Caenorhabditis elegans: one gene and its partner. The protein of the gene in region 1 interacts with the protein of each later gene in a biochemical or structural test. Each region holds a gene or a part of one and is shown in the gene's direction. Other genes may lie near its edges.

Evidence for each region.
Region 2: the proteins of efn-4 (region 1) and lad-2 form a complex in vitro, tested with the Caenorhabditis elegans proteins (one study listed by BioGRID).

What each region holds. Positions count from the first base shown.
Region 1 is NC_003282.8:556,911-560,833, forward strand, and holds the start of efn-4 (Ephrin-4), read left to right. Parts: upstream 1-2,323; 5' UTR 2,324-2,327; coding exon 2,328-2,425; intron 2,426-3,877; exon of another isoform or gene 3,878-3,923. UniProt on the Caenorhabditis elegans protein: Regulates the formation or stabilization of cell-cell contacts at several stages of epithelial morphogenesis. In early embryonic development, involved in ventral closure of the epidermis.
Region 2 is NC_003282.8:2,976,799-2,980,721, reverse strand, and holds the start of lad-2 (Neuroglian), read left to right. Parts: upstream 1-2,237; 5' UTR 2,238-2,323; coding exon 2,324-2,390; intron 2,391-2,435; coding exon 2,436-2,550; intron 2,551-3,274; coding exon 3,275-3,391; intron 3,392-3,437; coding exon 3,438-3,508; intron 3,509-3,923.

The sequences.
Region 1 (3,923 bases):
CCCTTTGTGATTGGAGAGTGTAAAAATGAATGATAAAATATACGATGAGGTGGGGGGGGGGGGGGGGGGCAAACAAATTTGCGACTATTTTCAAATATTCTAGTAGTGACGTAACTGGAGATCTAAACTAGTTGATTAGATTCCGTTTCAATCCAGATTTGGATGTATGCAATTTTGTTTGGGCAGAGGAGAAAAACAATTTGTGTTCTAGAATATCTTATGCTTTAATCTGAAAATCTATTTTTTAAGCGGGAAAAATATCTAAGAAATTGAATATTTAGAAGCAAAACACACCTACCTAAATGCCTAGTTTATACCTACCCGCCTGCCCCCCCCCCTACCTACCTGTGTGCACACAGCATACCTACATACCTACCGAAGTACCTACCTTACTCCTGCCCGCCTGCCGACCGCTTAGAACTTAGGTTTGAAATCTTTGAAAATTCTGAAAATTTATTTCAAAAAACTTGGAAGACTTCAGTATTATAGAAAATTATAGAAAAGTCTGGAAAATTCTTGAAAATTTGTGAAAATTCTAGACCATTATAGAAAATCAATTGAAATACAGAAAAAAAATTTTTGAAAATTTTTAGCAAATTCTGGAAAATTCTCCAAAATCCATGAAAATATGGTACTTGTGTATTATACCCCCGCCATTTTATAAATTAATTTTTTAACTTTTTAAATAAAAACGTGTGGAATTTTAGGCTTAAAATTAGGAAAACACTATTCCTAAAGTATAATACACAAGTACCGAAAATATCAATTCGTTTTAATCCTTGGAAAATTTTCTGAAATTCTAGGCAGTGCTCTAAAATTTTAGGAAGTTTTGAAACTTTGGGAAACTTGAAAATCCTAACAAATTATTCCAAAATTCCTGGAAATTCCAGAAATTTCTGGAAAATTTTTGGAAATTATAAAAATGTCTTAAAGTATTTTGAAAATCCTTCTGAAAAACATGAAAACCCTTGAAAATTCTAGTAAATGCTAAAAAAATATGCTCAAAAATTTTCAGAACTTTTCAAAAAGTTCTTGGAAGTTTTTGAAAGTTCTGGAAAATTCTTGAAAAATTCTTTCAATTTTTTTTAAACCTGTAAAAATTTCAGGTAATCCTATGAAATCATTGAAAATTCTCTAAAATTTTTAAAAATTCTCAGAAAATCTAGAACTTTCTAAAAAGTTTTTTGGAAGTTCTTGAACATTTTAATGCCCACCTTCCCGATGCCTGCGTGCCTGCCTACCTTGTACCTGCCTACCTACCTATGACCTATTTTCTACATTTTTAAAGATACAATTTTCAAGAAAATTTGTAATTTCCCACCTATTTTTTTTTGAAATTGGAAAATGAGAAATCCTTTTTCTTGTGAATAAATGAATATTGAATTTGATTTGAAAAATAAATTTCTAGTAAATTTGGCGCAAAATTTGAAATTTTAATTTTTACAGAATTACATTTATTGGCGCAAATTTTGTAAATTTCCAAAATTATATAGTTTTACCAAAATTTCAATTTTTCAAAAACTATTGCCATAAAAATTTTGCCGCAAAAAGCAGAATTTAAATTCTTCTTTATCAAAAAAAAAAACTAATTTTTAACGCAGAAGGGTTAGCTATTTTGATCCCACAAAGTACAAAAAAATGCCACAAAAATACTAGAACTTTCTGGAAAGATCTGGAAAAATTCGTTCAAAAATTTTTCTAAAATTCTCAGAAAATCTAGAACTTTTAAAAAAATTCTTGAAAATATCCAACTTTTTCCCTCCCCTTCCAACTTACCCTATTCCCCGTTTGATTAGCTCTCAACTCTTCTCACGACTTAATTGCTGCCATTTCATTTCTCAAAAAAAAAAAAAAAGTCATGCTCTTCTACTTCTACTGCTCGTCTTCATCCAGCTCATCCTCATTTTAATAGGCTCTTTTTCCGGAGGAGACGGTCCTGTTGGCTTCTCACTCACTTCTCATATTTCAATCCTCTACTTCTTCTTGCCTTTTCCCGCCCCGACGACACCCGTCCCAACAGATGCCCCCCCCCCCCCCGTCTTATTTCCCTGTAAGTCCCGCCTTCTCCGCCACCACCTTCATTTTCTCTGCGCGCTCTCCGGAGACGCGTGTCTCCTACTGCATAGTAGTGGTCAGTTCACCCCCTTTTCATCAAATGTGTGTGCACACAAACATTTAGACTTTAGACCTATTTTCATCTTACCTGTTCATTTTTGTGCCTTACTCAATTTTTCCGATGCTATCTTACTTTTCTTTTTAAAAATTTTTCACTTATTTTTTAGTTTGTTCCTACACCCAATTTTCTATATTTTTCAATTTTCAGCAATATGAAACAATTCTTCGAATTTTTAATAACAACATTTTTGCTACTCGGACTGGCCGCTGCAGACGAGCACATTGTCTACTGGAACTCTACAAATTCACTGTAAGTCTACATTTAATAGTACGATTCCCGCGCTCGCGGTAACCTATTATCTTATCAAGTTGAGCAAACAGTAATCAGGGGTGAAACGTTCGAAACTACTTATTGTTTGGTTCTCGCCGATAAGGCTCCGCAGATGCTCGAAAACTCCAGGGCTCTTCATCTTATAAATTGTAAATGTGACGGGAGGAGGGAGTCGTTATCTCGGATGCATTGTTTTGCCGCATACACCGGACCCCCACTAGAAATTCTTTAATGGAGAGAGGTGCTTGGTACACCTGCTTCTCAAATTCACCTTGTTTACCCATGTCCGTCTTTTAGAATTTGAAAGGAGCGAGGGTGATTTGAGATTTGAATTGATTTTAGACTTTAGCAGTTGAGCAATTTTTCTTAGCCGTTTTTTCGTTTTTACTCCATTAGGTATGCAAATCTCGCTTGTTTTAACTTTTTTCAAAAAAGTTTTAAATAGGAAAGTACGCGCTAAGTATTTTTCTACATTTTTGTAGTAGAAAATGTTTTGATAAATTTGAAACCAAGTGAGATTTACAACGTCAAAGTAAAGCCAAGGAGTCGGGCAGCGCTCCACTTTGACAGCTTATATCTCGGTTCTTTTTGATTTTATCAAAAAACGGTTAACTAAAAAAATATGCAAAAAATATTTTTCTACATTTTCATAGTAAAACACTTTTTGATAAAACAAAAGACAACTGAGATATACGTCTTCAATTTCGGAAAATAGTTTGAGGGTGTAAAGGAAATTACGTTACTTCCCTAAGACTTTAGAAGTAGTCGACCTCCCCGTACACCCGTCTTTCTTTTCAATACTTGCTGATCATTTTAACGGTATGCGAACCCGCGTGCTATTTGCATAACAATGCGCACTGTGGAGGTCGGTGTCACTTTTTTTTGTCAGGTGTCAACTCGAGAGTTAACTAGGTGTGTCGCCCAATTTTATGGAATAATGGAGTTTCCCAGAATATTGAGCGTTCAAGATTTTGCTAGATTAGCACACCATACTATGGTAATTATCGATGACATACTGAGATAAGTCACCTAGCCCCCGTACCGGATGTGTGTGTGTGTGTGTGTGTGTGTGTGTGCATGGTCAAGATTTACTTGGAGTAATATCAATATACTGCTCATACTTGAGCATTGTGTTTGCTCATTGGTTTTTTTTCGAGGGGCTTAAGATGGTGTGTACGTTATGCAACTCAGGTGTGGAAATACGAGAAGAGGGTCCTCTCTCTTTCTCTCTCAGGGTGGTCTATATGTGTATGTACTAGACATATTTGATGCGATTAAAAGTAGGTCTACGACGACGACGACGAAAATTGCTCCTCTACTCCTTGCTCTCTTCTCGGTTTCACTTTTTGAAGAGCATTCCCATTTCCGGCTTTCTGTTATTGGATGGGTGGTCCCAACGATGACATTTTTAGTAGGGTCAATGCACTTGACATCTTCTGTACGCCGTTTTCGATCTGACCTCCTGATTCAGAATTTA
Region 2 (3,923 bases), 2.4 Mb from region 1:
CAATTATTGGACTAAATTTTGAAAAATTCTAGAAGTTTTTATTTCAATTTTGAGCCAAAAAACTGGGAAACTCTGTTTTACGAGTTTTTGGAAGCCCGGGTTCAAAAAATGTTTCTTCCGGTTTTATGATCAAATTATGTTTGAAATATTTATATTTTTGAATATTGTATTTTGTTCACAGCTGCACCTCGTAGAAACGTTCTTTAAAATTTTTTGGCGGAATTTTTCAGAAAATTTTTGAGTTTTTGGGGTGTGAAAATTTTCTGGAAGCTTCGTGAGAAACCTATAAAAATTGACACATTTTTTCTCAATTCTCGATAAATTAAAAAAATTCTCGAAACAAAAAAATGTCCTTCATCTACTTTTTCACATTTTCAAGAGCATTAAAATTTTGCAACTCTGGAAAAATCCACTGTTTCAGTAATTTTACAAGCTTCTTGCCATATATGTGGTGTTAGAGCGTCCGATTTCGGTTTGATCTACGTAGATCTACAAAAATTGCGGGAGAAGAGACACAGGGTTATCAACTGATTTCGCTGACGTCACAATTTTTGCGCAAAAATTCCCGCATTTTTTGTAGATCAAACCGTAATGGGACAGTCTGGCCCACCATGCGTATATTTTTATCCGAAATTTTATCTCTCCAAAAATAAAAGCAATCTTTTTTTCTAAAATTTCCAAAATCCCAAAAACTCGCCACTTGAAAATAGTTTCATTGTCCATCATCAACATCAGTTCCCTCTCTCCTCAAAACTAGAATAGCAGATGATAGTCTGCCTCATCTTTTTCCATGCCATCTCCAGTCATCGTCTTCCTGTAGGGCCCCCCTCCTGTGTCTCTGCGTCTCTTCGTCTCCCCTACTCTCTCACTTCCTGATTGGCTCGATTGTCCATGACGCCGAGGATAAGACAAGATTTTTTCTTGTGCAATTTCTGTGACTTCTGGGACCAAAAAAATATCGGAGCCACTGCAGGCGATGTTTTTCTGTTTACTTTGTACTTTTTGTTTTGATTTTTCTGAAAAAATTACCGAAAATACTTTATTTTTTATTATTCCGAAACGACGTTTTTCCGATCGAGAGCAGTTTTTTTTGTAGATTTTTGATTATTTTGAAAAGGTTTTTGGGATCGGAAATTTTTTAGTCAAGCTTAAAATTTTTTTTAAGTGTTGGTGTAGATTTACGGGGTCTAAAAGTGTGAAAAAAAATTCAGAAAATAAAAGTTCCAAAAAAATTCAAAACTATCACCCAGACACAAAATTTAGCGATTTTCCCTTCAAAACTACAGTACCTCGGGTCTCGAAGCGACAATTTTTGATATTTTTTTTATTACATGCAAGAAGGTGTGCGCCTTTACAAAGTACTGTAGTTTCAATTTTTCTTTTCGAGTTTTCATGCATAGTTTTTCACATGATTTTTTATTTTCTATAATATTTAAGTTTTTAAATGAATAAACATATTTTTGCTTGAGAAACTATAAAAATTGGCAAATTTCGAAACTACATCGTTTCGAGACCAGGGACTGTATTTTTAGAGCGAAAATTCTGGAAATTTTCAACTGGAAATTTTCTCTTTTTCTTAATTTAGGAGGACCCTAAAAAAAGAGTATTCTTAAAATTTCAAAAAATAAAAAATATATCCCTCATTTCGGCTTGATCTACGTTGATCTACAAAAAATGCGGGAGAAGAGACGCAGAGTTCTCAAGAACTTGCTGACGTCACATTTTCAGGGCAAAAAACTCCCGCATTTTTTGTAGATCAAACCGTAATGGGACAGCCTGGCACCACGTGCCCTAGATTAATCAAAGATTTTAAGAAAAATCCGCTCCAGGAGCATTTCTAAAGACTACTTAAATACGTGGTGTCAGGCTGTCTCATTACAGCTTAATCTACAAAAAATGCGGGAATATTTTTCCAGAAAAGTTGTGACGTCAGCACAGCAGTGCAAAATCAGATGAGATGTCTGCGTCTCAGCTCCCGCATTTTTCGAAGATCAAAACGAAATGGGACTTTCTGACTCCACGTGCTTACAGAGTGTTCACCATTTTCTCCAATATTCGATCACCCTCATGCACCATGCCATTCCCCCCTCTTCACCCCCCGTTTCCCAAATACCAGACGGGCTCCAATTTCTGTCAATGATTTGCATCTCATTGACATTCGCCCCGCGGACACTCCATAATCATACCCCCGCCCCGTGACTCCGCCTCCTTTTTCGTTATTTGATTAATTTCGAACATTTTAGACTGCCTGCCTATAATGCATCATATCCTGAGACGTCGGTAGATTTTTGGTAGCAGACTTTTTTTTTGGATTTTTCCAACAATGCGTTTAGTTATTGCACAGTTTCTTCTAATAACTCAGGTATTTGCTGCACAAAAAAATAGTATTGGTAAGAGTTTTGTAACTTTAAAATGTCTGAAACTGTGAACTCCAGGTCCCCCGAAGCTTCTAGAACAATCAGGCGAAGAGGTGTGGTATCATTTAGATGATGAGGATCTCCTCAAAAACAGGTTGACACTTCGTTGCGAGGCAGATGAGAATACTGACAGGTGGGTGGAAATTTGGGATTGACAGGTGCTGCGTAAAACATGCAAGCCTACCTAGGCACCTACTAGGTGCCTACCTGCCTACGTGCCTTGTACCTCTGTGCCTAGCAGGTGTCTAGTAGGCACCACCAACCTCGTGTTTACTTGCCTACGCCTCTAGTGAACAATACATTTTTATGCCTGCTTGCCTACTGGCATAGTAGGTACTACAAATTCCAGCTCTGCCTACTGCCTATTTTTTTTTAACTTTTTCGGTTTTTTTAGTTGAGTTTTTGGTTTGGTTGAAGGTACTTCGCACTATGCAGCTTATGTCTGGGCGCCTGTATATTGTAGGCCCTGCCTATAGGTATACATTTTTAAAATAGCGTGCCTACGTGCCTTCATGTCTGAAACTGAGAAATCTTGTTTTTTTTGTTGAGAATTTGATGAAAATTTTTGAGAGAATTCGAGAGCATTTTTTAAAATAGCTGTGAAAAGTTTGCGAAAAACCGTCGCCTGCCAGGCGCCTACCGAAAGACATGAGGCAGGTGTAGGCCTCCCATGTGGTAGGCAGGTAGACATTTATGCCTATATAAATAAACTATTTCTGCAATAAAAGTATGTGTTTTTTGGTTGTAGGCACAAGACAGGCAAAGGTCACCTCGAAGGTAGGCAGGCACGTAGGTAGCTATTTAGGGCAGGTAATTAGGTAGGTATGTAGGCAGGCATTTATCAACTCTATTTCCAGATACTCCTGGCTCAAAGACGGTGAGCCATTCGTCATTGATTCCGAAGATGTTCTTTGGGAAAAAGAAAGTCAATCTGGATCAATTGTTTTTACAAAACCTCATGCTAGTCATCAAGGGTGAGAAATTCAGATTTTTGGAAAAAAAAACCAAAAAATATTGCAGATATTATCAATGTTTCGCATCGAATATATTTGGAACAGCACTTTCGAACAAAATGCATTTGAGGCTTGGATGTTAGTTTTTAGATGATTTTTAGAATTTTAAAATACTGGTGGGAAAGTCGAATTTTATTTTTTGAACAATTTTGTGAAAAAATTATTTTGGCGCATAAAAAAATAGGAATAAAAAACGTTAATTTTTCCAGAACACATTGGATTATTTTCAGCATGGAAAATGCCCTGAGAATGTTAAAATTTGAATATTAAAAAAAATTCTGCGGGAAGTTAAAATTCAATTTTTTAGTTTCTAACGAAATTTGGTGTGGAATTTTAACTCAATTTTTGCCAGAAATTTTGGTGGGAAATTCAAATTTAAAACTTTTCAAAATTTGGAAAAATTAAAATTCAGTTTTGAAGCCATTTTTTCAACAACTTCCAGTATCAATCAATAAATAATAAGAATTATGCTAATAATAATAATAATGTGTTT